2 linked regions of the Arabidopsis thaliana genome follow. The protein of the gene in region 1 interacts with the protein of each later gene in a pairwise test. Each region holds a gene or a part of one and is shown on either strand. Other genes may lie near its edges.

What was found.
Region 2: the proteins of AT3G03000 (region 1) and AT2G18750 interact in a two-hybrid assay, tested with the Arabidopsis thaliana proteins (one study listed by BioGRID).

What each region holds. Positions count from the first base shown.
Region 1 is NC_003074.8:667,872-682,982, reverse strand, and holds AT3G03000 (EF hand calcium-binding protein family), read right to left. Parts: upstream 5,744-15,111; 5' UTR 5,596-5,743; coding exon 5,098-5,595; 3' UTR 4,803-5,097; downstream 1-4,802. Other genes in the region: AT3G03030 (F-box/RNI-like superfamily protein), read right to left, coding at 1-731; AT3G03020 (uncharacterized protein), read right to left, coding at 1,703-1,906; AT3G03010 (Peptidyl-tRNA hydrolase II (PTH2) family protein), read left to right, coding at 2,846-3,049, 3,147-3,205, 3,294-3,353, 3,454-3,523, 3,664-3,733, 3,835-3,861, 3,952-4,001; HSFA1E (heat shock transcription factor A1E), read right to left, coding at 6,995-8,155, 9,124-9,369; MCC1 (MEIOTIC CONTROL OF CROSSOVERS1), read left to right, coding at 10,768-10,913, 10,994-11,138, 11,449-11,548, 11,649-11,877, 11,963-12,086; EXL6 (EXORDIUM like 6), read left to right, coding at 12,488-13,022, 13,303-13,766; AT3G02975 (uncharacterized protein), read right to left, coding at 13,457-13,758, 13,802-13,808; AT3G02960 (Heavy metal transport/detoxification superfamily protein), read left to right, coding at 14,357-14,365, 14,455-14,629, 14,958-15,111. UniProt on the Arabidopsis thaliana protein: Potential calcium sensor that modulates ion selectivity of NHX1.
Region 2 is NC_003071.7:8,115,543-8,133,055, forward strand, and holds AT2G18750 (Calmodulin-binding protein), read left to right. Parts: upstream 1-9,585; 5' UTR 9,586-10,052; exon of another isoform or gene 10,053-10,259; 5' UTR 10,260-10,284; coding exon 10,285-10,400; intron 10,401-10,550; coding exon 10,551-10,626; intron 10,627-10,716; coding exon 10,717-10,775; intron 10,776-10,855; coding exon 10,856-11,349; intron 11,350-11,434; coding exon 11,435-11,595; intron 11,596-11,681; coding exon 11,682-11,879; intron 11,880-11,974; coding exon 11,975-12,152; intron 12,153-12,234; coding exon 12,235-12,821; 3' UTR 12,822-13,160; downstream 13,161-17,513. Other genes in the region: AT2G18720 (Translation elongation factor EF1A/initiation factor IF2gamma family protein), read right to left, coding at 33-251, 337-564, 648-750, 827-995, 1,094-1,217; AT2G18721 (uncharacterized protein), read left to right, coding at 1,457-1,564; DGK3 (diacylglycerol kinase 3), read left to right, coding at 3,434-3,793, 4,114-4,236, 4,328-4,465, 4,549-4,634, 4,725-4,812, 4,919-4,994, 5,082-5,164, 5,285-5,355 and 4 more; AT2G18740 (Small nuclear ribonucleoprotein family protein), read left to right, coding at 7,792-7,833, 7,934-7,960, 8,060-8,122, 8,844-8,922, 9,010-9,055, 9,159-9,168; CHR8 (chromatin remodeling 8), read left to right, coding at 13,612-13,701, 13,813-14,334, 14,465-14,867, 14,970-16,014, 16,096-16,705, 16,795-17,232, 17,328-17,513. UniProt on the Arabidopsis thaliana protein: Transcription activator that binds DNA in a sequence-specific manner, likely 5'-GAAATTTTGG-3', to promote the expression of target genes.

The sequences.
Region 1 (15,111 bases):
GAGTAGGCTAGGGAAAGCAGATTTGGAGTATCAAAAGAAACGCTCTTTGGATTTTTAGAGGTTCTGGAACCGGTGGAGCTAAGAAGTAGCTGATTAGTGAGGGTTGCACACGACACGGTTACATGAGAATCAATCCACTCCATACCTACCAACCGTAATTCCTCAATCACAGGGAAACAAGGAAGAAGCTTCTGAAGCTTATCATCACAAAAAACCATCGCAGAGCTTATATCAAGACTTTGAAGCCTTGGTAAGAAAGTGCCTTCAGCTCCAGGCCACCAATGAATACAACCAAATTCAGATTTTAACCTGAGATTGACGAGTGTCTCACTGACGAACAACTCTCGAGGCAGAAGATAACCATCTTCGAAGTCGATGATAAGTTCAAGGTCCGCAACACCACGCTGCAGCACTTTACATAACCAACGATTCAGACGAGCTGGAGGAACACCGCTTTCACACCTGAGGGAGAACCTACGAATGGGACCATTTCCCTGCAAAGACAATACTCTTTCCACAAAATCCAAGAAGCTATCCAGAATTTCTTCTCTTTCCCACTTAGTCTCTTCCGGATGAAGATACTCAGAGTCATCCAAGTCGAGATTAGGGACAAGCGTGAACAGATTCCGCCACTTCTTAGACAGAACAGATGTCAAAGCAGACTCCTTTGTGGTAAGGAAGGACAGTATATGACAACGAACATCGTCTGGTAAACTGCTCACTAGATCCATCTTCTCGCTAAGCAAATCAAAACAGTTCCACTGGTACTACAGCGGTTGATTCAAACCTAACACTTATGACTTAACAACAACAACAACAACGCGAGTAGGAAATTGATTTTGAGGCTGTGACACCGAAAACACCAACAACATTGAAAATGCAAATTTTCGCACAACTCTTAACACTACAAATTAGGGCAACTCCTCAATGAGTCGAAGAAGAGAGGGACGGAGTGCGTAATTTAGGGGAATTTGGAGATATTTTGTCAATTAAAATATTGATATAATTTTAAGTCTTAACGATTAATCACTTAGATAAATTAATAACACCAAAACAGAGCAGCGAAATATACAGGTTACACCCTAAATATATTTCAATCCCACAAGGCTGCTAATTTTAGTTTACTTACATAACAACTGTTGATGCATATTCCCAAAGACTAAACACCAATCCAAATCCACTAAGAAAAACAAAACACATCTCACAAGTGAATGAGCTCATTGTTTTTAGACGATTTCTGCTTCTTCTGATCATTTCCAGAGGCAGATGAAGAATGACCCAAACTATTCTCACCAAATATTATCTCATCCAGATCATTCATCATCATCTCATCGCTGCTGCTTCCGCGAGAGTCTTTAGGTTTAGTAGCAACAAGAATCATATGGCTGGCTCTGTTGCAGCTAATTAGAAGAGACTGAAAATAGATATATGCTCATTGAGCTTATTAGAAGAGACTGAAAATGCAAAATAGCTCAATGAGCTTTATTGAAATGTAAAGAAGAGAGAAAGGTGAAAGCTTTAGGTTGTCTTCAAGAGCAAAATAGATTTGGATTTGATTTCATACAATAGAGAAGAGAGAAATAGCTAACAAGAGAGAAACTGATTCCAGGTCCAAACTAGAGAAAAATGAACTCAAAATAGATCAGATCAAATAGTAGTACCATCAAAGAAGAAGAATAAATAGAGTATACCTTGGAGAAGATTACTGCCTGCCATTTCTGATAAAGGACGATTCCTCTGTCTCTGTGGTATGTGGATATGTGATGAATGAATGACGCAAACAAGAATTATGGAGAGAGAGAAAGGAAGAAGAAGAAGAAGATTTTGTGTTTATAAAATGGTTTTGACATTCCCCGAAGATGTTAAGGACATATGAACTGCTCGGACCAAGATAACTCCAGATCATCTTCAGGGTCTCAGATCCATCTTCTCGCTAAGCAAATCAACAGTTCCACTGGTACTAGAGCGATTGATTCAAACCTAACACTTATGACTTAAGAACAACAACGCGAGTAGGAAACTGATTTTGAGACTGTGACACAGAGGTTTTAATTGAGAAGAAAAATAATCTACGAGGAGGTCAATGCCGTACGACAAGTGAGAAGACGCGTTAACTTTAAAGGAATATTTGGACTCTTTCTTTTTTTTTTATCTCCATGGCATGAAGAAACCACGAGTCTTGGATTTGTTGGTTTCAACTTTTTTTATACAAAAACAATTTCCTTTGCTTTATGAAAAAAAACAATAATAAGGAAAGTAAATATGATTTCGAAAATGCCAGAAAGTAATTGTTTTTAAAAATGAAAATGGGCCGTTCAACATCTCAAAGGCCCAAATTTTGCCGATATAAAAAAGATTGGGAACAACACTTTTAAACATATTAAGGAGAGACCTATTCGTGTGGCCAAACACCAGAATATCGCCAAAATCGTTGAAACTTGAACGAAGAAACAGACTTGTCACAGCTCAGCCGCCGGAAGACTTTAAGGTAACGAATCTTCCATTAACCGTCCCTCGTAGATTTATTTCTACAATTGATAATGCTTATTAGTTTGTTGTCTACTTAAATTCCCTATTGGTGAAACCCCAGAATCGTCAAGTAGCTTTTTTATCGATTCAATAGCTCCAACACAGCTTTTGTATGTTTAAAACTAGCTTATGTTTTTTACTTGATTCCGAGAGAAACAAGTACTAATGCACTAGTTTCTTAATTCACTTTTAGATTCCCAAAATTTGTTACTATGTTATTTTCTTATCAGAACACTGATTTTAGTTACCACATTGATTCAACATTGTTTGAGTTAATGATAGTTGTGAATTTTGTTTGCTAATTCTTGTAGGAGGTATGGATTTGGTGTGGTTATTAAGTGTTTTACTTGTTGGAGCTGCACTTGGATATTACATCAGCACTTTACGACAAACCCGCCGAATCTTTCTCTCCTCCAAATCTGTCGCCATAGATGCAGGATCCAGCGGGAATAAGAAAACCAAGTCCAAGGAACCCCTCGAGATAGAGAAACTCGCTGATTTTCGCAAAAATTTCAAAATGGTACCTAGCCTCACTCTGCCTCCTTGTCTTTGTATTGCACCAAGATACCAGTAGCTGATATAAATGCTTCTTGTTGTTGTTGTTGTTGTCTGTGTAGGTTTTGGTTGTGAGGAATGATCTTAAAATGGGTAAAGGGAAGATTGCAGCTCAATGCAGGTGATTATCAATCCTCTTTCAGTTTTCAATTGCATTTCTTGAATTCAATTAACAACTCCTTTTCTCTTGTTTTGCATATTATATGTAGTCATGCAACTTTAGGTTTATACAAGAAACTCCTTCAACGGGCGCCAAAAGCCTTGAACAGGTAGGTATGCGGTATGCCACACCATCTCATACTCTACTTCAATTCTATGTTTCTTTTTCAGGCTACGGATGGAATTAACAGTTACTTATTGCTCTTGCAGATGGGAATATTGTGCTCAGCCAAAAGTTGTTGTCAAAATTGAAAGTGAGGAAGAGATGCTAGTTTTGCAAGTGAGTTTACTGAACATGTGCTACGTAAATATACTTGCCCTTTGCAAGATTGCAGTTTCCTAGGTATTGAATAAGAGAAGAAGAAAAAGTCATAAGATCCTCCTATGTGAAGAGTGTAACAATCTTGTTGATACCGACAGGAAAGAGCAAAGACCCTGAAACTGCCAACCCATATCACCATTGATGCGGGAAAAACACAGATCGCTCCAAGTGAGTTTCTATAGTTACTGTTATTTGGAATCCTCCTGCTTAACCCTAGTCTGACATTAATAGAAAAACTTAATATGCCTACTTGTTCTCTTCTTTTCCAGATTCAAGGACAGTAATGGCTATTCTTGGTAAGTTATTATCATCTATGAGAAGAGATGAGTTATATCACAAATTGTAGTTACAAGTGCAATTGTTTAATAAGTCTATTACTTGTGCAGGACCTGTTGATAATGTTGATGAAGTAACAGGTGGACTAAAGCTTATGTAATAACTCTTGGATTCGACATTACCAACACTCTGGCAGAAAGGAGAGCATGCTAATTGGCTCCCAAGTTTTCGACATTTCTCGGTGACAAATCTGTTTTCCCTTCTTCTGAGTAGATAACTCCATTTTACATGGATTTGTACAATTGTCTTACTAGAAGATAATCATATGACAACATTTGCTGATTATCCACAACATTTTAAAGATGAAGTTTTGATGCTCTCCTTTGTTTTGTCTATTGTATCTATAAACTGAAGCGTTTAAGCTACGAATTGATTTTGACTGATTTTGTCCTAAGGAGAGTCTAATTCCTGCGCAACAGCTAATCAAAATATACAGCATAAGTGTTTCACTTCTTGCTATAGTTAGTGGTCGTTTGCTAAAATAGTATTGATGTCACTGTATATCGTGCTACCAATTACTATATATTTCCGGGAATACTGCTTGTAATATCCATTTCAAATGTTTGTTTATTCTGAGTTCTAGCATTTAGCATAGTCAATGAATGCGTATACACTCAAAGATTGTTAGTTGTTAGCAACATGTGGGCTAAATCTATGTAACTCGTGCAGGACTGGTTGAAGAAGACATGTGGGCTAAATCTATGTAATAACTCTTGGATTCACAAATCATTTGACATATCTCGGTGACAAATTTGTTTTCCCTTCTCCTTAACCATTATTGGGGATCGTTTTCGAATTTACATGAATTTGTGCAATTGTCTTACTAGAAGATCATAATCATACGATATTTGCTGATTATCCCCCATACATATAAAGATAAAGAGTCAGTTTTGATGCTTTCTTTTGTTTTGCATATTGAGAGACCTTTATCTCCATAAACTAAAGTGGCTAAAGCGACGGGTGGAGAAGTGACTCACACGCATAGCAAAGTTTTCTTGCCCTAAAACCAACAATGATAGCTTTCTCTTCAAGCTATCAAAATTTCATCAAAGAATAATATGAAACAATAAATAACACACATTTTCCATGGAATCGCACCTACACACATATACTTCCAAATGTCTTTGATTTGAGGATGAAGCCAAAAAAACAAAACACAAGTATTTCAAACTATGTATATATATACCTTTCTTTCTTCAACCCCAAGCATTATCAAACGCAGCTGAAGTAATCGCTTGAACAAACTCTTGGAAATCAATACAACCATCGCCGTCTCGATCAGCTTCTTTGATCATTCCCGTTAACTCCTCCGCCGTCAACGCGTGACCTAGCTTCGCCATCGAATGGGCTAACTCCGCCGCCGTTATGTAACCGTTTCCATCGCGGTCAAACATTCTAAAGATGGCTTTAAGCTGATCATCCGTGTAAGGACACTTGACCAGATCTGGCTCGACGAGGGCGACGAACTCGGAGAACTCGACCAGTCCGTTGTTATTCCGATCTGCTTTCTGGATCAATGTGTCGAGTTGGTCTTGACTCGGCTTTAGACCGAGAGATCTTAGAAGTGAGCCTAACTCGAGCTCCGTCAAACTTCCATCCTTGTTCTGGTCAAATGATCGGAATATCTCCCGGAGCTCCGCTAGTTGTTCGTCGCCTAGTTTCGCCGGCGCCGGTTTGCCTCCGTCGCAGCTCATCTCGAATCTGATTTTGAATACTGTCAAGCTTCGATTTCGATGAACAACATTTTTCTTTTTAGAGTTGATTTGTTTCTTCTTGACAAGTCAACGATGACAGGTAATGGATTACAAATTTCAAACGAGTAAAGATTTTGATTTTCTTATTAATGAGCAAGAGAATAAAAATTTTATTTTATTTAAATCAAATAAATGATTGTGGATGGAATACGAAATTTTTTAAATTAAATTATTAATTGAACCAATTATTGGAACGGTCAAAGGTTGTTCGGTGGAGGGAAAACAGTCGTGCTAAGCGTTAATTCACCGGAACTGGTTTGTAGAAATGGATGCCAAAAGATTTCTTGACAATAGAAAAATGTTATAGCTTTGATTCGTATTTTAAAGAAGATAATATTTTCGACATTTGTTAGCTATATATGAATCGAGTGTTCGACATACGTTATATATTGCATGCATGAATGTTCAAATTTTCTTTCAGAGTAACTATTTTATCCTTAATATATGGTCTTTATCAATTCTTTTAACAAATTACATGTTTATTAATGTTCATATCCTCTTTTAAAGCAATATATCCATGAGATATCTGTGAAATTTATCATATGTAAAATATTTATATAGTTTTCAGAAATAGATATATATCATATAAGCTATATAAATTACAACTAATGGTAATATCATATGTAATGTTGTATGTAATGTTAAAAGCAAGTTTAAGATTGATACAAACGACAAATGGATCTGGTTCGGTTGCAGTTTCAGAGCTTAACATATGCATGTACATACACTTTGATTCCGTGTAATCAATGACTTGATCCTTTTAAACCACTTTGTTACTATATCCACACGACACACGTTCTTCCTTTTTACTCTCTCTTTAGATGATTTCCTTTAGACGAAATTGGAACATTAGTTTTACTCAAGAAACTAAAAGTGAAGGACTGATAAAAAAACACTAAAGCAGGTAAGATTTGGCCACAGGTTAACCAAAATGCCAATTTTTGCACTTAATGTAACAAAAATAAACAAGGATCTCTAAAGACATACACAAGAACAGAAGAATATCTCTCACTTTGAAGCATCTCCTTTTCATTCTGTCAGTAACAAACAAAGATATTGCAATGCAAAAATCTTTTAAGGCAATATTTCTCTTATTTTATTATACATTGACAAGAATTAGAGTTACAACAGTTTGATACATACATACATAGTACCTCCTTTGGTCATATTCTTTTTGTTGTTGCGGCTCCACAAAATCTTAACCCATCTGCGATAACAAGACAAAGACGAGGGGTTTGGTTTTGCACAAAATTTAAATTTTGGAAAGTGTGTGGTTTATAACATATCAATATAGATAGACTGATTACCTCGTGAGGAAAGATTGTGGCCTGTGGCAATCTCATTTTCTGAGAGCATCTGATGTGAGAAGTCCCATCTGTTCAGTAAGATGGTTCATTTGTTGATTCTTGCTCCACACATTACTCAGGGTTGATTGTAACTCTAGTTGCTCCAATATCAGTTCATTTTCCACTGATCCTGAGATTAACTCATCTGTCTCACCAATCACTGGGCTCTCACCAATGAACTGTTCCCAAAAAGAATCTTGGACTTCAGGAAGCAACTCATTTAAGGTATCAGCTTCTAGTTCGAGTGCGCCATCCAAAACAGCCATTATTGGATCCAAACACTCTCCATTATCTGTCTCGCATCCAACAAGATCCGAACTTGAGCTCCCAGAAGCTGCTGCTCCTTGCGTTGGAGGTAAGAGATCACCTTGAGAAAAAGGCAAATTGGTCTCCATGACTTGATTTGTTTCACAAGGCTCGTGGTACTTCATTGCAGGATAGAAGCCTGCAGGAATGGATGAAACATCTGCCAATGTAACTTCAGGTGATCCATTTGAGGAGCTCCCATTGTCTGAAATGTTAGAATTTGGAACATCGCCCAAAAGAAAGCTACCATTATTGCTTGAGAGAGATTCATGGCTAGGTGCATTACTCATCTGCTGTATCTGTTGAAGCATAGTGTTTGTTGCATCGTTCATCGATGACTGATATCTCACAATCTGGCGGCTAAGACCATTAACCCCATGACTGCCAGAATTCATCTGGTCCTCAACAGGTAGCCTCCTCTTTTTGTTGCTTTCAGAAATGTGTTGGTTTGCTTCATTACTCTGCTGAGAAAATTGGTTTAAGAAACCTGGACTTTGGACAGCCTTTGCTAGAAAGGACATCATCTGTTGCTGCCTCTGCTCCATCACATGAACTTTCTGCCCCACATTCTGCAGATGATGTTCGGTAACTTGTTGTTGCTGCCTCAACCTTACAAGTTCCTGCATAAGGACGTTCTTATCGCGCTGAAGTCTTTCCACTTCCTCTTCGAGTCCAAATTTGCCCACTTCAACGCACGCACCCACAGATGAGTGCTGAACTTGAGGTTGTTGTGGAGGCTGCACTTGTGCAGGTTTTCGCCGGACAATACTCTTTAGTATTTGCTTTTGGCCTCTTAAAAAGCCCTCGTTTGCAAACTCCCAGCGGTCTGGATCAACTTTTCTAAAACCCTGAAAAAAAGAAGCATGGAGAATGGAACAGTCATCAACCGCAAGAAGTTACTTGGATTCCGTTGCAATAGGAAGCCAACATAGAAGATTTGTATAAACATAAAGACCATTAAATACGTTAATAACAACTATTCTAGATATGGTATGATACGTTCACTGGGTCTAGCTGCAGCACCAAACTACCATGGTCCAAGGAAACTAATACAGTTGTTAGTGTATCGGCATGTACCTGGACGGACAAATACAAACGAATGGAAAGCTAACATGGGACAACTGATAGAAATTTTGTTTTGTGACTTAAGAGGCCAGAAATGGAAGTGCTGAATCAACCAATCGTCAGACACATATGAGCACATGTCCAAATAAGCCTGCAAAGTTCGTGGAACCTTTTGGTAAGTAAATAAGAACAGGGGAGGAACAAGCTACGCAAGAGTATACACTTGTTAGTTTTGCTTGACCTAAGAAAATTCATTCCAGCCTCACAGACACGGATGCAAGCTCAGATACTTAGAAAAACAAAAACATATATGCCTGCAGTTCACAGGGTATACATGTACAAAAAACAACTGAAGAACAATACAAATATGTGAAATTATCTTGCACGAGTTTGTCAGAACCCAAAAAGATCCAATCTTAACAGTTAGTGCAACTAAAATCAACATTAACACAACCTACTAGACGTGCATAGTTCAACCACCAGCGTCAACAACTATATAGGAACATCAATCAGTAGCATCATACTATACACTAAATAGGAGTCGACTTCTCAAAGCACCTTCTTGCAACCTTAAATCATTCGTGAGTTTTATCAATAACTAATGCTTAATTCAACCACAAAAAAAACAAGAGAGTAAAATAAAAATGAAGCACATAAAGTAAGATTCCCTAAAATCGAACTACGAAATTGAAGAAAATCGAATCAATGAAGAGAAAAACAAATAAAAAAGAATCGATCGAAGTTCACTCACATAAGTATTGAGCTGTCTGACGAAGCTGGAGAAATTGTTGTGCTTGAAATACTTTGGTAGAAACTGTTTGGCGAACTCAGGCACGTTCCAAACCACGAAGCTGTTGTTTCCGCTGCTCCAAGACACCACGTCGTCCGTCAATGGATCGTCAACCATATCGTACGTTTTGCTCAGAAAAGGCGGAATGGAGCTCATCACCGCCGTCGAAGATTTCGCCGTCGCTACAGATTCGCAAACCGTTCCCATAAATCAAAATCGCAATTGATTCCGGTGTACCGTCTTCTTCAACAATTCCGAGATTCACTACTCCGGTCTTCGCAAACCTTACAGAGATTTATATTCGAAGATCATCTCTTAGCGACGAAGAGAAGAAGAAAGAAGCTCTCTCTCTCTCTGTCTACACTTATATTAAACTCTGGAGATAGCTTTTACCTCTGCTCTTTTATTTATACACTCTGATTTTTTTAATTCCAGAAAGCGGTGGAGTTTCGCAGAGTGATATAACGTGTCGTAATCTCTACCGTTGATCTGATTACCTCTGCAACGTCCGATTATTAAATTAAAAAATTAGTTTTGTTGTTAAGATAAGAAATACCACGTGGGCTGGACTAACGTGCTTGGCCTTTTTAAAAAAACATTAATTAACGTACGTACCTGGTCTTTTTCTGATTAACGTATCTGGTCCTAAGCTCTTTTTTTCATACGTGGCACTGGACTCGCGTTACTTTTCTCAATTTTTTCCATTTGCGTTTCACGTTTTTTTTTGGATAATTTTCTGCTACTCAAAGTTTTGTTGTTACGAAAACGTTGAGTCTCTCTCTCTCTGCTTGCCGCCGAGACGGCCAATAATTTTTTTTTTAAGACAATATTTATAAATCTGAAATAAACATCGATCCAGATTTGTGGATTATAGAAATCTTATCAAATTTTATAAGATTATTTCTTTCTATGATATCTAACGGCTCATCATGTAAGACTAATCTAAATTTGTAACGAAGAAAAGTGGAAAACACATAACAAGTGTATTGGCCCGCCTAATCGAGTTAATAGGGCAAGGAAATTCTCCTTTACTGCCTAACTCTTCTCCAGTTTGATTTTTATTTTTTGTTGTGGAGGGGAATATTTTAAGGTTCTCTTACCATAGTACAGACTTATAACGAATAATAATAAAAAGCAGATTATGAATCGAAAGTACGAATTTTTTCAAATCCATTTTTTTCAGATAGAAAAAACAGTACGAATTTTTATTGTTAAAAATGGTTATATTATTGAAAATGGAACAATTTTTCATTTAAGAGAATCGAATATTCCATTCATAAATAGTACATTAGTACTCTCCTTCTAAAAGAGGCACGTGATTGGTTGTCGCAAAGCACACGAGCCAAGATGCTTCACTTGGAACGAGAAAAAGCCCCAAGAGACAGAGGAGAGGGCAAAGCAAGCAAGCACCTTTTTCTTTCCCATGCTCGAAACTCGGTTCTTGATTGATTCCTTCGCCGAAGATTAACCAATCAAATCCAAACAAACCCACTCAGATCCAGATTCGTTAAATCTATCCGGATCCATTTACTTCAACGGGTCGGATCCAGTGATCTGGCACTTCACAATGGGAAGTGGCTTTTCTGGTTCTTCGGATACCAAACAATGTCGCGATTTCCTCGAAGATTCATAGATGATTCATCAATGGAAGATGCAGGAATCTCTCTTTGCCCAAGTATTCACTATAGACCTATAAACCCTAATGATCTAGATCGTTTGGAGCAAATCCATCGCGATATCTTCCCCATCAAGTATGCATCCATCTACTTGGATTTTCCTATGTTGGTGTCTTGTGAAAAGATTTCTAAAGTATTGATTTTTGTTTTGTCAGGTATGAGTCTGAGTTTTTCCAGAGTGTTGTGAACGGAGTTGATATCGTCTCATGGGCTGCTGTTGATCGGAGCCGGCCTGATGATCACTCTGATGAACTTATTGGTTTTGTTACTGCCAAATTTGTGCTTGCCAAAGATAGCGAGGTTAGTTTTCATTCTATGAATTCGTCTTTTTGTAATTCGAACAATAATGATCTTTCAGGTCCTGTAATCACCTTGAATGTTGAACTAGTTCATAATGCTTATGGTTTTTGGTTCGTCTGTGATCATGTACACTAAATAAAAGTTATTTCACTTGTCAAAAATCTTTAGAACAGCGGCTTGTAATAATGTCTGAATTATGATTGAATAATCTGTTTTGGGAGCTCTGGTAATGCAATTGAGTCTAGTGTTGTTTTTATCTTCTTATTATCTATCTTCATCAGCTGGCAGATGGTTTCTGTGTCTTGCACAGATAGATGATCTTATACATTACGATTCCTCGAAAGGAGAGGAGACTTTGATATACATCTTGACACTCGGAGTTGTAGAAACATACAGAAACCGTGGAATCGGTACATGACTCTTATAATACTAATAAGTATCTGAAACATGTTCTATATATTGCTTGGTTTTATAATTTCTGATGTTTCTGCAACTTTTTTTAACTCTCAGCAATGTCACTTATTAGTGAGGTAATTAAATATGCTTCCGGTTTATCTGTGTGTCGCGGAGTTTACCTTCATGTGATTGCACACAACAATGCTGCGATCTGTTTGTACAAAAGATTGATGTTCAGATGCGTGCGGAGATTACATGGATTTTATCTAATCAATCGACATCATTTTGATGCGTTCTTGTTTGTCTACTTCATCAACGGTTCTCGAACTCCTTGCTCACCCTTGTAAGGAGATTTACTCACAGACAAAACAAGTCTTTGATTCTCTTGTACTCTATAATGGTTTACAACAATTTACTGTAATTTGCAGAGAGGTGGCGATGTTTGTTGTGAATTATATGAAGAGTGGTATCAAGTCAGTGGCATCTAAGCTGGCTAACAAGGATGAGAAAGGTTTGAAATGGCTGTTTTGCAAAGACACGGATTGTGTCTAACCCTCGCAAACCAAACCGAAGCTAGGGTCATCATCAGCGTACGAATTCATTTAACTTAAAACTATATTTCCCATTCATTTGATTTCTCATTGTGAACTCTGTAATGAAAAGGTAAATAGTCACCGTTAATGTACTGTTTTTTGGGTTTTATACGCTGATCATTACGTGTTTATAAGGTGTAAGGAAGTTCTTATGAGTTTTTCACCACCCTTCTTAAAATAGTTAGCTTGGTTGAAAATAGCTCTTTTGCTTCATTGGCAATTATCCAAAAACAAAATCACCAGCTTAGGATGTCAAAAAATAGGTTAAACGATAATTTTATTTACTTCCCTCAAAAAAGCCTGAGAAAATCCCCATCAAAGGCCAAAAGAACAGAAAAAAGTTTTTTTCACGCGGTGGCAATGGCAATGGCGTCTGCTTCTTCCTCCTCCTCCTCCATATCCGTCATCATTTTCCTCCTCTTGGCGCCTCTCTGCCTTTCACGTGAGCCACCTTCACAAATCCCAAACGGAACCCTAGATCTCTCTTTACTATGGTACGGCCAATTCACGCCTACTCAAAAGGAGAGGGTTCACGATTTCATAGAATCGCTTAACTTCGACGCCAAGGAAGGTCTTGACCCGAAGGTATCGGCGTGGTGGAAAGTGGTGGAGAGTTACCAAGAGAGGTTTGAGGTGAAGGATATTTACCGACAGAAGAAGAGTAACAGAACCGTAGCTCCGAGGATTAAGGTGAAGGTTGTCCGGAGTTATGTGGATGAGAAGATGAAGTATGGAAAGGAATTGACAATGGGGAACGGTGAGAAACTTGTTGAGACGGCTATCGGAAATATGTCGAAAGTGGTTCCCGTGGTATTACTTTCGGCGCAAGTTAGGGCTCATGGCGTAGGGTTTTGTGACGGAACTTGCCAACATAACGCCCTAGCCAAAATTAAAGGTTTGATTTTCTCTTCGTTTTTTTTTTCCGTCTACATCTCTCAGATTTAAACCTGGATTAATATGGCACCGTGAGAGATCGACACTAGTACAATAAATATATTTTAAGTATGTCTTGATTTTCTCCTCGTTAAATTGCATAACATTAATCTATTTTACCCTTGAGAAAAAGATTATTGGTTCTACATAATTTTGTAGCTTTTTTAGTTTGTTCTAAAAGATTGTAGTATTAGACAACAAACAAAAGAAAAATTTGACGTCATTACGTAAATCCCACGCAGGTCAAAAAGAACCACGACGGTACATAATGGTAAGCAACCCGGAGGTGGAATGTCCCGGAGAGTGCGCTTGGCCTTTCCACACGGCCGATAAGGGTCCACGTGGCATGACCTATCAACCGGCAAGTGGAGAAGTCGGAGCTGACGCACTGGTTATTCAGCTAGCCACCGGTTTAGCCGATTTGGCCACCAATCCAGATCTAACCAAGTCCTTATTCAAATCTGAGACGACACCGTACAACGATGACGTAAAGAAAAACCATGAATCTTCGTCAATGTATATTGTGGACCCTGCAACCAAGTGCACTCGGGTTTTTGGATCCGGAGCTTTTCCAGGTTTCACTGGTAGAATTCGGGTTGACCCGATTACTGGTGGAGCCTTTAATTCACACGGAATCAACCACTTGAAATTCTTGATTCCTTCTATTTGGGACCCTAAGACCAAATCTTGCTGGACTCCTATGTAAACCGTTATTATTACGACATGTTACACAGTTTTTACCCTTCATGAACTTTTAAGGTTGTTTTGTTATTGGAAATATTCAATATACTTGGAAATACTTCATGAACTTCTAGTTCCAAGTCTTCATGAACTAGACTTTGAACGATCCTCGTGTAAATTAAATTCTGTGAGAAAGAAAATCCATGATTTAGCAGATAATACTACAGTATTTGACAACAACAACAACAAAATGTTGATAAGTAAGAAAATAAAGCTCGAAGATTTGTAACTATTCATGATTTTAGAAAATCGGAATAATGAATAGTGTACTTATTTGGACACTGAATAAGAAGTTACACAAGTCCCGATTGAAATTTAATTTACTAATGATCGTTACAAAATTATTTGTCTCTTTGTCATCAATCCTGTTAGTGAATATTAGAATTATTATTCATTGTAAACAAATAGGATCATCCAGATTGAGAAGTAAATAATTTTATGTATGTTACAAATGAAATAATTAATTGATCGTAAAACCTCTCTGACCTTATATATATCGAGTCTCACTATTCAACTTTTTCATTGCACTTGTCGTACAAAGGAGTAAACATTGATATGGGAAAGGTATGTGCATTCCTGTCTTTGGTAATTCCAGTAATTTGTTAAGTAAATTATGTGAACTTATATTTTGTGTTTTGGATTTGGTTCTAAAGAACAAGCAAAATGGAGAATCAGACAACAAGTCTGAAAAGAAGAACCAGAAAAATGGAGATTCATCAGTCGATAAGTCTGATAAGAAAAATCAATGTAAAGAAATTGTTCTGAAGGTTTACATGCACTGTGAAGGATGTGCATCACAAGTTTCTCATTGCTTGAGGGGCTATGATGGTAATACTCTATTAAAAGAAACATTATTAGATTACTTTCCCTCTTTAATGGAATCATATATATATGGTCTCGATCATAAGAATCAATGTCAAATATTTAATCATTTATCATTGAGTGAAATTGTACTATAATTTAACTTAAGCATTATCTAGTCTGGTTTCAGTTTTATTTTTCTTTCCTGTAATCTAGAGAAGTTGTCTATTAATTCCCACAATGACATAACGAATAGTAATCTCTAGTTCTTAAAGCATCAATTAAAAAATAGGATTACCGTTTTTTTCTTCTTACTCATGACTCATAAGTAGCTATTATCTTATTTGTCTTATAGGGGTTGAGCATATTAAGACAGAGATAGGAGACAATAAAGTTGTTGTGTCTGGAAAATTTGATGATCCGTTGAAGATATTACGAAGAGTGCAAAAGAAATTTAGTAGAAATGCTGAGATGATTTCCCCAAAACATAACCCTAAACAAGATCAGAA
Region 2 (17,513 bases), on another chromosome or scaffold:
CCTAGTTTTTCGGGGTATTGAGTATGTTTTACCTGAAGGATACTCCCACCTGCAACTCCACCTTTCATACCATCATAATCAGAGCCAGGTTTATTGACATCAAAAGAACGAATCACAATCATTCTTGGAGGTGACACAAAATCCCTCACAGGGAGTGGAATCTTCTTGACAATGTACTCACACAAAACATCGATGTTGTATTTCAGTTGCGCTGAGACAGGAACTATAGGAGCACCTTCCGCATTCGTGTTCTGTAATAACAAGTTTAAAACTTAACCAACTAATCAAGAAGTGAAAAATGCAAAAAAAAAACAGAATGGGAAAATTGAATCAAACCGTTATAAATCTCTGGATGTCCTCGTGCTGTTTAATAGCCTCGTTTTCTTGGATGAGATCAATCTTGTTCTGAATGATTATGATATCTTTAAGATGCATCATATCAACAGAAGCAAGATGTTCAGCTGTTTGTGGTTGTGGACATGTCTCATTCGCAGCAATGATTAGTAAAGCACCATCCATAATCGCTGCTCCATTCAGCATTGTCGCCATTAGGATATCGTGTCCCTAATCAACACACAAAACACCTCATTAACATATAGAAAATGGTTACAAAAGATTTAGAAATAGTGTTAAAACTCATTTTATACCGGGCAATCAACAAATGAGACATGTCTTAGTAGTTTCATCTTGTACTTCTCATGTCCAGAGACATCACAACTTGGGTTGTCTTCTTTGCCACTCCCGAAAGACCTATAATTAACACATATCATAAGTTGCTACGTACACTACGTAACCTTATTGTAGCAAAAGAAGAGCAAGAATTCACTTGTAGGCTACTGGTCTAGGGCATTTTTCACATTTGTAAATCTTTGCGTTTGCGTAACCAAGTTTAATGGTAATGTTACGCTCCAATTCACTCTTGAATTTGACAGTGTGCACACCGGAAACGGCTTTCACGATTGTCGATTTCCCGTGAGCGACATGGCCAATGGTTCCTGAGATATAGAGAGCATAGTCATATCTTTAGCTTTCAATGCACGGCTGATCAGTTTCTTCAGCATCAAAACTCAATGAAACAAAAACTTGTGTATACCTATGTTAATGGTGGCTTGACGAGAGATGACCTCAGGAGAGAGAGGATGCAGCTGAGCTACATCAAGTTTACTTAGATCTTGTTCAGCTAAGCCCTTGTTCTTCGACATTACGACAGATTTCATCTTAAACACTCTGTTGCAATCAATCAAAGTTCACAACTTTAGAACAACGTTGATCAGAGCCAATACAATAACACTAGAAGTTTCGAAAGGCTGTTCAGAAACTAGGGTTTTTATGCAAGATGGATGGGTTCCGTTCACAATAGTTACGATTCGATTAAATTCAATTAGGGTTGCTAATCTATTTCACTGAAGTTCTTATAAAAATGATTTACACAAACCTGAAGTACGGTAAGAGGTAGATGAAGAAGTTTGCTCGCAGAGATTTCAGAGGAGAAAGCGTGCCGTTGAAGGTTTGTGTTTTTGGTTTTGATAAAGTCAGGTGGCGTGTAAGGTATATTTATAGGTAGGGTTTTATCTTAACGTTTACTGTTTGTCTTTTTCGCCAACTTCATTTTTCCATGTGTCAATAAAACATGTCTTACAATTTTTATTTTATAATTGTCGGTTTCTTACCCGAAATGTTTTTTTATAGGAAAATTTGTGTTAGGTAATTTTGCAATTTCATTTACAAAATATAGCACGCTCCTTTTGAGATGGGCTAAAATCGTTCCAAAGTTTGGGCTTACACGCCTAACCATTGGCCCACTCCAGTTTACTTCTATCTTTCACCAAACTAAGAAACATTGATCCTTGAACAAAAAGTAGTATATGTTTATATGATGACAAAAAAAAAAGAGTAGGAAATCTATGATTCTATAGGAGTGTAAATGAATAAGCTGTGATAAATTTAGGTTATTTTTCTTAACGATATATATTGTTAGATCAAATTTTATAGTTACATCATTTGGAGTATAATGTAAATATGTTCCGCTTTATAATAATGTAAATATGATTTGTAATACTAATGAGAACACACGCTCATTGTCTTCCAGTTCAAGAAATATCTTAAACCCCACTTTTTATCAGCCACCTGAATTTGAGTCTTCCTCTGCCACATAATAAATTGTTTACATGGACCAATTCTTGGTTACAAAACATCTGATATCATATCGTGCAATTAAGAAGGTATTAAATGATGTTTTTTTCTGTGGCATTTGTATATACTTTCAAGTTTCGACCAATTCTATAAGTTAAGAAAAAGGCATTGAGGGAAATTTAGGTTAGAAAAAGTACACAACGATCCCAGCAATGGGAAGTAGCTATCACTTTCAGTGACCCTATTTCTCTGAGTGGGCAATAACATTGTAGGCCCCATTCTGTGGAAAATCCACTAACTTCAATGTCTGCTCTCATTTTCTATTGTCTCCTTCGCTGTTTTTTTACAATTTACGTTACCACCAAAACTATTCCTTTGTTTAATGACGAAAACGCCACTCTTTCTAAGCAAAATGTCAGAGAATTTTGTTTCTTTGTTGGAGAGTTGAAAATATTTTTTACATAGAAAAAGAAACCAATAATGCAGTCAAATAATAATAGGAAGCAAATAATAATGCAAGTATCTCTAATTCTCTATATCAAATTGTATTCAATCATATTCACCAGATGTAACCTCTATAATGGAACCTTTTTGAATATTAAAATATCATTAGATCCTATTCTTACAATGTATCAATCAATTACTAATTAATTTTCTCTGGTTTTCTTGATATAACAATAACGTTAAAAAATCTCATTGTTAATCTCTTTATGCCATCATTAGTATTGTAAGATTTTGTACACTTTAAATTGTAAATTTGATCTTACAGAAACAAAAGATCTACAAATCTTAGTTACAGAAGATAATGGTATTAAACTATACAAATCTTAGTAGTTTAATATTATTAATAATCAAAATTATTCTAAATTAGAACTTTTACAAAATAAACATTTATCAGTCGCTTTCATAAATGTCAAACAATAAAAAAAGAAAAAGAATCAAAGATCTAAAGAGTGGCATTTTTATGACGTCACATTGAAATCCAACCGTGTAAATTCTTTTTTTTTCAATATAAGCAAATTAATTCACACGTTTTGTGCGCTGTCTTCGAAACTAAATCATTTATAAAAAAGACAAAACAGACAAGAAAATACAAACTGTCAAAAGAAGATTTTATATTGGTTGATTTGAAATCTCTCAGCAAAGAAGAAGAAGAAAGATTAAAAAAAAACAATCCTTTATTATTTTTCATTTCAACTCCAATTTTGATTATCTGGGTTTCGAATATTCCTCATTTTCTCCAATCACAGGACGAAAAGTAATCATCTTTTTGTCTTTTCTTCTCCGGCGAGAGACTACAATGGACTCTCCGGTATCAAAAACCGATGCATCGAAAGAGAAATTCGTGGCTTCACGACCATCAACGGCTGATTCAAAGACGATGAGAGGTTGTGGACTCGCGAATCTGGCATGGGTTGGTGTAGATAAAGTAGAGCTTCGTCAGAGGTTGATGATGCCTGAGTATCTTCGTCTCGCTATGCGTGACTGTATCAAACGCAAAGATTCCTCGGCTATTCCTGATCATTTACTTCTTCCTGGTGGTGCTGTTGCTGATATGGCTCCTCATGCTCCTATGGTTGTTTTCATTAACCCCAATTCTGGTGGTCGTCATGGTCCTGTTCTTAAAGAGAGGCTTCAACAGTTGATGAGCGAGGAACAGGTTTTGCTCTCACTGAACTTGTATTTCAAATCTTTTTCTTTGGGTTTTTGGGGGAATTTCGAATCTAATTTGTATCTACTTTGTGTTTTGATTATGTTAGTTTGGAAACTTTCTTAAAGTCTCTGGCTTTTAAGTTTTTAATGCTTGATTTATATGTTTATGCTTAGCTGATGTTAGATCTAGTGTTTTGTTGGAACTTTGAAGGATGAGTTACGTTTAAAGATTGAGTCTTTTGGAAAGCTGAGTGATGTTGATGTTGTCAAGTTATTGGTTTGAGCTTTTGATATTGAAACTTCATGGTGACTTTTGTGTTGATACAGGTGTTTGACCTCACGGAAGTGAAGCCGCATGAGTTTGTTCGATACGGGTTGGGGTGTTTGGAGAAAGTGGCAGCGGAAGGAGATGAATGTGCAAAAGAATGCAGAGCAAGGTTGAGGATTATGGTGAGTGTATTGACCATATTTTTCTCCAATCTCTATAGATCCACTTGAATGTTTTTAGCAATCAGAATTGTGAATGGAATTGGTTGGATAGGTTGCAGGAGGTGATGGTACTGTTGGTTGGGTTCTTGGATGTCTTGGAGAGCTTAATAAAGATGGAAAGTCGCAAATTCCTCCTGTTGGAGTTATTCCTCTCGGTACAGGGAATGATCTTTCAAGGAGTTTTGGTTGGGTGAGTTGTGTTTTCTTTGTTCTCTCTTATGTTGTCGTGACAAAACTTTTGAATTGGTACTGACTATGGTATCTCTTCTTCAGGGTGGTTCGTTTCCTTTTGCGTGGAGATCTGCTGTTAAAAGAACACTCCATCGCGCAAGTATGGGTCCAGTTGCTAGACTTGACAGGTAAAAGTCTTATTTTGCTCAAAACATTTAGCTTTTATTGTATTTCTCTTGTTGTAAAAATGTATGCGCTTTGGTTATGTGGTGTTGCAGCTGGAAGATTTTAGTGTCAATGCCATCTGGAGAAGTCGTAGATCCTCCTTATTCTTTAAAACCCGCTGAAGAAAACGAACTTGATCAGGTTTTGCTCTATTTCATTAGGCTTGCTTCTTCTCATTGAATCATCAGCATGTGATTTTGTAAATTGCCACGGTTTAGTAATTAACCAGGCTTTATGGTGGTTTCAGGGTTTGGACGCGGGAATTGATGCGCCTCCACTTGCAAAGGCTTATGAAGGTGTTTTCTACAATTACTTAAGCATAGGTTTGTTGAACTTCTCTTTTTGATATCCTAAACAATTTTCACAATTGTTTTTCTGACCAGATTCTTGTGTTTGTCTGGTTTGTTTAGGTATGGATGCTCAAGTTGCATATGGCTTCCACCATCTTCGCAACACTAAACCATATCTTGCTCAAGGCCCTATTTCAAATAAGGTTTGTTTATTATATTTGCACCTAAACTTTGGACTCATTATTTGTCTTTGTTAAAAGCTAAAGTAGTTATGTTGGTTTTGAGAAACGACATTACCAACCACACAATGTTTGCTTTTGCAGATTATATATTCAAGTTTTGGTTGCAGTCAGGGTTGGTTTTGCACGCCTTGTGTCAACGATCCAGGTTTAAGGTTCGCCATTTCGACTCTTATTGTGTAGTTGAACTTGTGTGTAAGTCTCTGCTTAAGCCCTTTGTTGTGTTGTTGACCCCTTGTTTGTGCTATATGAATTTGCAGGGGACTTAGGAACATAATGAAAATTCACATCAAAAAGGTTAACTGCTCTCAGTGGGAAGAGATCGCAGTCCCGAAAAAGTAAAAAACAGTTTTCGATATATGATTTATGTATTACAATCTTTGATATCAATGCTTAAAACCTGATGCTATGGATTTCTCTTGTAGTGTGAGATCAATTGTCGCATTGAATCTTCACAGCTATGGAAGTGGAAGCCATCCTTGGGGCAATCTAAAACCGGACTATCTAGAGAAGGTATTGTTTCTGTTCCATTTCATCATATATGAACTCAGTTCTCTGATGTTAACCCGAATGTTTTCTTTGGTTTTTCTCAGAGAGGCTTTGTGGAAGCACATTGTGATGATGGTTTGATAGAGATTTTCGGTTTTAAGCAAGGATGGCACGCGTCATTTGTCATGGCTGAGCTCATCTCTGCCAAGCACATAGCTCAGGTAACTTCAAAAGACACTGGTCAATGTATAATCTTTTTAGCCATGTGTTTGACTGTTTCATTTTGGTGATCATTTCAGGCTGCTGCGGTAAGATTTGAGCTAAGAGGAGGTGACTGGAGAGACGCATTCTTGCAAATGGATGGTGAGCCATGGAAGCAACCAATGAGCACTGAGTACTCAACATTTGTGGAGATCAAGAAGGTTCCTTATCAATCTCTGATGATAAATAATGAATGATTGAGATTCAAAGCTGGATTCTTTGTACAAAGCTAATTGTTTTGTATTTGGATTTGATTCAGTTAGTCATAGATATAGCCTAAGCTTTTTAGTCTTCTTTTCTTTTAAATCTGAGATTGTGACCATTTTTCTCTTTTTAATTTCTGCTTATTGTTGGTTTTGTACATTTTTGTGTTGTGAGGAATGAAGTTTGTTTATTTATAAGAATGTGGGAAGATAATATTTGGTCAAATTTCAATCTCTCTTCAATCTTTGTAATTCTAGCATTGAGCACATAGATGTGATTCTTTGTCATATTTTTATTTATTTTAACACTAGTTCGACTGAGAACCAATTTATCATCGACACCAATTTCTAAGTAAGAATATTTTTAATAATTATCATTATTAGTCGTATATTTTTACCAGAATAATAAAAAATTAAAAACCTAAGTTAATAAACCACACAAAAAAGTTTTTCTCTCTTCGCTCTCTCGTAGTTTGTAAAGATAGAAACTGAAATTTCTTTTGTTTTTGTTAACCGGATAGTTTTCCGGTGAGTCGCCGTCCCGTTTAATTCGGGCTTTCGTCCGACATCTTCTAGCTACGTTAGTGGAGATGGTTGGCTTTTTGTATGGCATCGTTGGCTAACTTAGCGACGTTGGCCAGCTTCCGTACGGCAGCGTTGGGCTTACACTAACAGCGTTGGTCATCTTTGTTTTTGTTTTGTTACTTCAAAGGTTTGATGATGAAGCTTTATGGCATGCAGAATCGTCAGATCTGAAGAGGGTTTCTCTTTACAAGATCTATTCTCCTTCTGTTTTGTTTAGCTTCACTATTGGGTTATGCTTTTGGCTCTGGTAGTTTTTCGGCGATGTGTGCGTTTCCAGCAATTACCCTCGTTTGGATCTACCATATTTAAGACAGTTTCAATTTTATTTTCGCCTAAGATTGGGTTAAAGCTTCTATCCTATGCAAATTTGATATGCCTTTAGTGCTTTTGCAAGAGAGTTCGAAGATTCAATGGTTGGACAAGTTTGAACTACTCAATTTTTTTAATTTCTTTACCCGTTTTGATGAATTATTTGTGATTCTAGCAACCATATGAGATTAGGAAATTGATGTTTGTTCTATAACATCTAATTGCCATAATCGGTGATAGAAAAAAAGAGTTTCATTGCTCGGTGCTTTCCCGGCGATGGTTCTCCGATTCACCAGACTTGAGTCTCATCCGGTGGAGGTTGTGGAAGATTCACGTGTCCTTAGCTTATTATTATTGGTCTGACACGTCTTAAGCTTATCTCTTTTTTGTGACGTAAAAGTCTGTTGTGGACCTCATATGTAGACTGTCTTGAGCCTTTTATGTTGTAACACTGAGCCTCAGTATATTAAAAATAAATCTTTCTCTGAAAAAAAAAAAAAAAAAGTTAAAAACCTACGCTAAAAAATTCTAGGTCTTGGAAAAGAGTATTTGGGCCAAATGATCACATTAATTAGTTATGGGCTGAAATAACATTCTGAAGTTTTATGAGGACCGAGAGAACTAAGTTTAAGAAAAATGTTGAAAAAAGCGTATTAGCAGAGGGACAAACGCTTTTTAGGGTTTTAGATTTCCTCTGAGAGAGAATTTTCGAAAGCTTGAGAGAGATTTCCAACTACGTTAGCCATGGCGAGCACCAAAGTTCAAAGGATTATGACCCAACCTATCGTACGTTTCTTCTTCGATTCCTTTGTTCCATCTCTTTATTGTTTCTATCGAAACCTAATTTTGTATCTTGCTTTTTGTTTTCCGGTGGCGGCGGCTCCAGAACTTGATTTTTAGGTTTCTTCAAAGTGTAAGTTGTTCAATTTCTTCTGATTTGCTCTCTGAGGTTTTAGGTTATTAGTAGTTCGTCTACTGATTTGTTCCCTGGTCTTTTGTGTTTGTGATGCAGAAAGCTAGGATCCAGATTTGGCTATTTGAGCAGAAAGATTTGAGGATTGAAGGAAGAATCACTGTAAGTTGATGTTGAAGCTCCGTTATCATGAATTGATTAGATTCCTGGCTTTGTTTATAGGACATTCGAGGGTTATGCTAACTTTAGGAGAGTTTGAAATGCATTAGCAGTGTGACTATCTCTCTAATTTAGTCTGTGTTTGAACTGTTGCATTTGTTGTGAATTGAAAAGGGATAGTTGTCACTGTTACTACTACTGCACAAAGAACTGATAAGAGCCTGCCAATAGAAACTAGTTTGATTAGCTAGCTGTTCTTAGGTTGAGTATGATTGTGTCATTCTCTTCGGCTTAAAACTTATTGTCTCCTACAGCCTACTTGGCTTTGGGTGTTACTTGTTTCAGTTTGTTGCTATGCTTGTAGTTGTATGTCCTCTATGATTTTCGAGTTATGATTCAAGCATTCAAGCTTTTCTTAGTTTGATTCTATGATAATTTGGAGAAACTTGAGATTTTGTGATGGTGTCATTCTCATTGGCTTAAAGGTTTGAGTTGTCTACTTGACTTTTGTTGTTCCATGTTGCAGTCTACTTGACTTTTGTTGTTCCTCGAGTTAAGATCCTAGCTTTTCTGAGGTTGATTATATGTATGGAGGAACATGATATTTGTGATAGTGTCACTCTACTCGGTTTTAAACTTAGATTTTTGTCTACTTGAATTTGGGTGTATTATTGATTCTTCTAGGAGAATCCATCAAACCTTGCTTATCCGTCGTCCTTTGCAGGGTTTTGACGAATACATGAATCTAGTTTTGGATGAGGCTGAAGAAGTGAGCATCAAGAAGAACACCAGGAAACCACTTGGTGAGTTATCCTGAACTCACTCTTTGATAACAAGTCTCAGATCTGTCTGCTTATGGTTTGATAACTCGTGTTAATACCTATTTTCAGGAAGGATTTTACTCAAAGGAGACAACATAACTCTGATGATGAACACGTAAGTAACACAATCTCTACTCTGTCTTCTCTCTTTATGATGTATAGCAGCTTGATTTGTCACATAACAAAAGATTGAAACAAAATCCTTTCTATGTTAACAGGGGAAAGTGATGTCTGTCTCAAACAACTCTCTTCGATGACCTTCAAGCTTATGTTAAATATCTGTTGAGTTCTTCCTCAGCTTAATTGGTACTTGACGATACCTTCTTTTCTTCAATGTCGTATAATATATTGCAATGTAGTGAGTGACAAAGGAGCTTGATCGAATCTAGTGGATTGGTTGGTTAAAACTTCAAAAAAGAGATTTGGTCCCTTTTGGTTAAATCTAGTGTTATGTAATTTGGCTGATCTTTGTTGCAACTTTTTAACCTCTGTTTAAATTTCAAACCTTAAAAAAGTAAAACCAATTGATTTTGATTATAAAAAAAATTGTATCATTTTTGTTTGTTTGGTGAACTGACCGAGTTGGCCATTCTCAGGGCTCAAGTAGATTGAAAGTTTAATTATACTAATAGACCAATCAGAATATAATCTGTTAAAGTTAACATAAAAATACAGAAATCTATGTGAACATTAACTTTTCATTGCAATTAGATGTTTTTATATCCATGTTGATTGTTGAATCTTATCCCTAATCTTGCTATTGGTGAAATGAATGTATTTTTACTATTAAAGTCTTTTTTTAATAACAAATAATTGGACTTTATACAACAAAGTATTATTATTTAATTATCAACTTTAGAATATAGCATGTGCCAAAAATACATACACTAGCCGCCGGCCCAAGAATGTCGTCCAATAAACGAAAAGCAAAAGTGACGGCAATCCAAGCCTACTGTGATCTTGTCCGCACCCGATAACTATCTTTAATTACTAAAACTAGTCAAAGTACTCGACTAATCACAAAACTAGACAAGTGTTTCAAGTAAATTAATTTTTGATCTTTTCATTTTATCTCTCTCTCTTTTTCTTCTATCCAAAACACCATTTTTGAGGTATTTTTCTCTCTCCTTCGAATCGAATTTTCAGGTTTCTCTTTCCGTTTGTTTGAAGAAGCTTTTAAGTAGAATTCATAAAATCTTGCTTAGCTTCTGGGTTTGATTTGTTTGTGGTAAAGTTTTGATTTTTTTTTTAGTTTGAGAGCTGGATTTGTGATTCTTTCTCTGGGTTGGTGAAGTTTTTTACTTGCTTCGATCTTATAGATCAGAGCTTCTAGCAGCGTAAAAAATGCAGACGAGGTATATGGAGAGGACTAATAGTATGAGAGAGAAGAGAAAATTGGAGGAAGATGATAATCAGCAGCAGCAGCAACAGCCTGAGCGTAAAAGGCCAGCTCTTGCAAGGTAATTTGTGTTGATGCTTGTAATTTTTCTGATTATTGATTATGGCGTTGTTGAATCTGTAATTGATTTGTAGTTGTATGAATGAAAAAAGGGTTGTTATGTATATTGATTGTCTGTGGATTTGAGAAAGTTGTGTATGTGTTATTGCAGTGTAATTGTGGAAGCCTTGAAGATGGATAGTTTACAGAGGCTTTGTTCTTCTTTGGAACCGATTCTTCGCCGAGTGGTTAGCTTAATAAGAATTGTTTACATGTCTTTTGGTGCTTTGTGTTGTTTCTTTGGCTTACTGATTTGTTTTGTGAGCATTGTCAAACAGGTAAGTGAAGAGGTGGAGCGGGCATTGGCAAAGCTTGGCCCTGCAAGACTTAGTGAAAGGTAACATATGACTGTTTTAAAAAGAGATAAAATTAATGGTTGGAGTATTTGTGGTTTTCTTCTAATGCTTGAGTTCACAGGTCGTCTCCAAAACGAATTGAAGGTATCGGTGGAAGGAATTTGCAGCTACAATTCAGGTCTAGATTGTCTGTTCCTTTGTTTACTGGAGGGAAGATAGAAGGGGAGCAAGGTGCTGCAATCCATGTTGTACTGTTGGATATGACAACTGGACATGTTTTGACAGTAGGACCTGAAGCTTCTGCAAAGCTTGATGTTGTTGTGCTTGATGGTGATTTTAACACTGAAGATGATGATGGTTGGAGTGGAGAAGAGTTTGAGGGTCATTTGGTGAAAGAACGTCAAGGGAAGAGGCCTCTCTTGACTGGTGATGTGCAGGTCACGTTGAAAGAAGGTGTGGGAACATTAGGGGAACTTATCTTTACGGACAACTCAAGTTGGATTAGATGCAGAAAATTCAGGCTGGGTTTAAGGGTCTCTTCGGGTTACTGTGAGGGAATGCGTGTACGCGAGGCAAAAACAGAAGCTTTTACCGTGAAGGACCATCGTGGAGAGTGTAAGTTCTTGCTTTCCTTTGATATTAGTCATTGATGTATCTGAATCTTTGTTTTTCTTTTGCCTAATGTTTTTTTTTCCTACAGTGTACAAGAAACATTACCCACCTGCTTTGGATGATGAGGTCTGGAGGTTGGAAAAGATTGGAAAGGACGGGGCTTTCCATAAGAAACTCAATAAAGCAGGAATCTACAATGTTAAAGAATTCCTGCGTCTTATGGTCAAAGACTCTCAGAAACTAAGGACTGTGAGTGCACGATTTAACTATCCAGTATCTTACCAAGATGTTCAAATATTATTATTCATCATGATGACTCTTACTCTGATTTTCAGATTCTTGGAAGTGGCATGTCAAACAGGATGTGGGAGACACTTGCAGAGCATTCCAAGACATGTGTATTGAGTGAAATGCTTTACGTCTACTATCCCGAGGACTCAGTTGGTGTTGTTTTCAACAATATATACGAGTTTAGTGGTCTTATATCAGGAAAGCAGTATTATCCTGCTGATTCTCTTTCTGACAATCAAAAGGTATGTTTGTTGGGTCTTCTTGCTTCTTATAGATACAGATTTGATTCTTCTATCATATACTCGGAAAATAGTAAAAGGTTATATATATGATGCAGGGTTACGTCGATGGACTGGTGAGGAAAGCCTATGAAAACTGGGAACAGGTTATTGAGTATGACAGCAAGTCACTTATGAACTTCAATCAAGTTAGCAAAACAGATGATATTGATTACTCTATGCCAGTTTCAGTTCCAAGCCAACCATCTACATCTTATTCAGACGTAACTGTTGAAGGTAGAGGTTCAGTCCACAAATGTCGAATCTTTTTAAGTTTTGGTGTGAACCGAATTTAACAGTCATTCATTGGGTTTTTCAGCATACAACCAGAGTCCGGCTTCAAGTTTCCCGGGTCAATCTCAGCTAGCTGATACTACATACATGCACTTTGGAAACTCTTCATTTGCACCGCAAGACCAGCTAGTTAACAACACTCATGAATCACAAAGCATGATCAATAGCAACGGTGGTGTGAGATTGGCACTGGGTCCAGCAACAGGATCTCAAAACCAAGAACAACTTGTTCATCCTCCTCCTGAGATTAACTCTTACAATGATTGGTCAAATACATGCAACAGAGGAGTTGATGGGTTTTTATCAGAGGAAGAGATTAGGGCTAGAAGTAACGAAATGCTCGAGAACGACGATATGCAGCAACTGTTGAGACTGTTTAGCATGAATGGTGGTGACCAGCAAACTCCATTGAACATGGGAGAAGATAGTTTTGGGTTCCATTCTTTTGGTCAGACGTCAATGGCTGATTACGAAGAAGACCGTTCAAACTCGGGCAAGGCTGTTGTAGGATGGCTAAAGATCAAAGCAGCCATGAGATGGGGCTTCTTCATCAGAAGGAAAGCTGCTCAGAGACGGGCTCAGATTGTTCAACTTGATGAAGATGACGAATAGGTTGAAGAAGAAGGAAGAAACAGAGAATCTGAGGGTTTTCATTGTGATGATGGGTTTTTAACAGTTTCCCAGAAAAAGAAGTCTTTTGTTTTGGTTTCTTCTTCTCGTGGAGCTTTGTATTTCTTGTACAGGGAGCTTTCTTCTTCTCTTCTTGTTTGTTTGTGCGTATTATATGTAATCGCTCTACTTGACTAGTTTTCATGAACCCAGAAACCTGATGTAGTTTCTATTGCATAATGTCTTTTATGTTGTGTTCCTTTGGGTTTTGTTATTTTTTGGGTATGTTTGATAATACACTTGTTTAGAAATATTTAGTATTTAATTAATAAATTGGTAAAATAGAAATACACTATTTCTTTTAATTTTAAAAAGCGTATATATAAATTAAAAGAACCTATTTCTCTAATCTTCCACAACAATTCTTTCATCTTTGACGAAACCAGTTTCGCCCATCGCCGAGCAGTGAGTTTTAAAATTTCTGACCTAAAAATTCTCATGGGGTTTTATGATTCCTAGTCGATTTTATCTGGAATTCGTAAGCATCTTGAGATTTTCTCCGTCAATCAAGAGAAAACAATGTTTGAAATAGGAAAAATTGAACTTATTTCGCGAATTTATTTTGAGAATTCTAGGAATATACAAGTCCTTACGATTGCATACAATCTGTTCGACGAAATTCTTAAAAGAGATGTATCGTTTGTTGTTTGAAGGAGAAGGAAGATTTTGAAGATTCTGGCGGAGCTGTGGAATTGAAATTATTCAACAAACACCACCGACTCAGCTTGATTCAATGGAGGAAGACGAGGATCAGTTTTTGTTGAGTAGCTTAGGTGTGACATCGGCCAATCCTGAAGATCTAGAACAGAAGATACTCGATGAGGTAAATATTTGCTCATTCGTTTGGTATTAGTGCTGCATTGTTGATTCTATGAAAGGGTTAGTAATTTATGAAAACTAGCTTGAACTCTAAATGTGTTTATCTCTTTGTCAGGCGACGAAGAAACCAGACAACGATGAGGGTGGGAGTGTGGAGGAGAAGTCTACACAGCTTGAAGGAACCAATCTGCTTTCATCTAGCCAAAACGAGCTTTTGAATAAATTGAGGGCTGTAAAGTTTGAAATAGATGCTGTTGCATCAACTGTTGAGAACGTCGACGAGATTGCAGCAGAAAAGGGCTTAAAGAAAGATGATGAATCAGATTTACAAGGGTTGCATAGTGGTTCTGCTCTTCAGCATGCCCTTGCCACAGACCGGCTAAGAAGTCTTAAGAAGAGAAAAATTCAACTTGAAAAGGAACTTACTGGTCTTCATGGTCAGAGTGCGTCTAGTAGTGCTGATCACGGTAATCTACTGCGAGATTTGGTGAAGGAGAAGCCTAGTCTTAAGAGAAAATTGAAAGAGATTCGGAAACCAAGCAGAAGAGATGGGAAGAAGGTGAAAGTAGTCTCCTTTCGTGAGGACACAGATTTTGATGCTGTTTTTGATGGAGCTTCAGCTGGTTTTGTTGAAACGGTACGTCCAGTTATCTTCTAAAGGTTTTATATATTTGACCTGATTCCTGTGGGATTATGCTCTTTATCTGTGGGTATGTAAAATGCATATATGAAAGACAGTGACTAATTTCAAGGGTGTTCTTGTCTAGGAAAGAGATGAACTGGTGAGAAAAGGAATTTTAACTCCATTTCACAAGCTCGATGGTTTTGAACGCCGACTTCAACAACCTGGACCGTCAAACTCACGCAACCTACCTGAAGGAGACGACGAAAATGAGGACTCCAGCATTATTGATAGAGCTGTCCAATCTATGTCGCTGGCTGCAAAGGCTCGTCCCACAACCAAGCTACTTGATGCAGAAGACTTGCCAAAGCTTGAACCGCCCACTGCTCCTTTTAGAAGGCTGAGAAAGCTTTACAAGACTCCTAATTCTCCGGATAATGAAGCAAAGAAACGTAAAGCTGGGAAGAAGAGCAAAAAGACGCGGCCTTTGCCTGAAAAGAAATGGAGAAAGCGAATCTCTCGTGAAGACTCTAGTCTTCAAGGAAGTGGTATGACTGATGCTATTGACAATTATTTGTATTTACAGATTGCTGTTTGGGCCCTTTGATTGAATTTCATGGCTATTAATTGGAGCGAATGCTTTTGAAAAGATAAGGCTGTGATATTGGATCTTCCCGATGTTGAGATATCACATGTTATCAATGCAATGCTTTTAAGTGATAAGTCTCAACAGTTTCTACCAATGTTAAGCAAATTCTTTTTTTTCCCTCACTTGAGTTTATGTAAACCAACAAGTTATGATGTTGATTCTTGTTGCAATGTTTCAGGAGATGGAAGGAGAATCTTGACCACTTCCAGTTGCGAGGAAGAAGAGCTAGATGATTTTGATGATGCAGATGACAACGAAAGATCTTCTGTACAGCTTGAAGGTGGATTAAACATTCCTGAATGCATCTTTCGTAAACTTTTTGACTACCAAAGAGTTGGGGTGCAATGGCTTTGGGAACTTCATTGCCAAAGGGCTGGTGGCATTATCGGGGACGAGATGGGTCTTGGTAAAACTATACAGGTCTTATCTTTTCTCGGATCCTTGCATTTCAGTAAGATGTACAAACCGAGTATTATCATATGTCCTGTTACACTCTTGCGTCAATGGAGAAGAGAAGCACAGAAATGGTACCCAGATTTTCACGTGGAAATACTCCATGACTCAGCACAAGATTCTGGGCACGGCAAAGGTCAAGGCAAGGCCTCTGAAAGTGATTACGACAGTGAGAGTTCCGTTGATAGTGATCATGAGCCAAAGTCTAAGAACACCAAGAAGTGGGATTCTTTGTTAAACCGGGTTCTAAATTCTGAGTCAGGGCTCCTCATCACCACATATGAGCAATTGAGGTTGCAGGGTGAGAAGCTGCTCAATATTGAGTGGGGTTATGCAGTACTGGACGAAGGCCATCGGATCCGGAACCCAAATTCTGACATTACTTTGGTGTGCAAACAGTTACAGACCGTCCATCGAATTATTATGACTGGGGCACCAATCCAGAATAAACTAACAGAACTCTGGTCCTTGTTCGATTTTGTTTTCCCGGGAAAACTGGGGGTCCTGCCTGTGTTTGAGGCAGAATTTTCTGTTCCCATAACTGTGGGTGGTTATGCCAATGCTTCTCCTTTACAAGTGTCGACTGCCTATAGGTAAATTACCTGGTCTTTCTTTTGAATCACTTAGTTAACTCATCACAGTTTGTGCTCTAAAGAATTCTTGACAATGTGCAGGTGTGCTGTTGTTCTCCGTGATTTGATTATGCCGTACCTCCTCCGCCGTATGAAGGCCGATGTAAACGCACATCTTACAAAAAAGACTGAACACGTTCTCTTTTGCAGTCTCACTGTGGAGCAGCGATCTACCTACAGGGCATTCCTTGCAAGCTCCGAAGTAGAACAGATTTTTGATGGCAACAGGAATTCGCTTTATGGGATTGATGTGATGCGTAAGATATGCAACCACCCTGATCTACTTGAGAGAGAACATTCTCACCAGAACCCAGATTATGGAAACCCAGAACGCAGTGGGAAGATGAAGGTTGTTGCAGAAGTGCTCAAGGTCTGGAAACAGCAAGGACACCGTGTACTTCTGTTTTCACAGACTCAGCAAATGCTTGACATCCTCGAGAGCTTCTTGGTTGCAAATGAGTATAGTTACCGGAGGATGGATGGTCTTACTCCAGTGAAACAGAGAATGGCTTTAATTGATGAGTTTAATAATTCAGAAGACATGTTTGTTTTCGTTCTGACGACGAAGGTTGGTGGTTTGGGAACAAATTTGACTGGTGCGAACAGGGTCATTATCTTTGACCCGGATTGGAACCCCTCAAATGATATGCAGGTACGTTTTACTTTGAATGTCACAGATTCAGTGTGCAAAAAACCCGTCGTGGCCATAAATAACAATCAATTTTCTGCTTTTTTGGGCAGGCAAGGGAACGTGCATGGCGTATTGGGCAGAAGAAGGATGTTACCGTTTACAGATTGATCACTCGTGGCACAATTGAGGAGAAGGTATATCATAGACAGATTTATAAACATTTTCTCACCAATAAGATCTTGAAGAATCCACAACAGAGAAGATTCTTCAAAGCTCGGGATATGAAAGATCTTTTCATCCTGAAAGATGATGGCGATAGCAACGCCTCCACGGAAACCTCTAACATCTTCAGTCAGCTGGCGGAAGAGATAAACATCGTAGGAGTTCAATCAGATAAAAAACCTGAATCCGATACACAACTTGCTCTTCACAAAACTGCAGAGGGATCCTCAGAGCAAACAGATGTGGAAATGACTGATAAAACTGGTGAAGCCATGGATGAAGAGACAAATATCTTAAAGAGTCTCTTTGATGCGCATGGAATACATGTAAGTACATTAATAAGTGCTCATTGAAGGTTCTTCTCCGACTTACTTTCCCATAATTTCCAATTCCCTTCACTCTCTTACAATTTTTAACACAGAGTGCTGTGAATCACGACGCCATAATGAATGCAAACGACGAGGAAGAGAAGATGAGACTTGAACACCAAGCATCTCAAGTGGCACAAAGAGCTGCGGAAGCATTGCGCCAATCACGAATGCTGCGTAGCCGCGAAAGCATCTCAGTGCCTACATGGACGGGAAGATCTGGTTGTGCAGGTGCACCA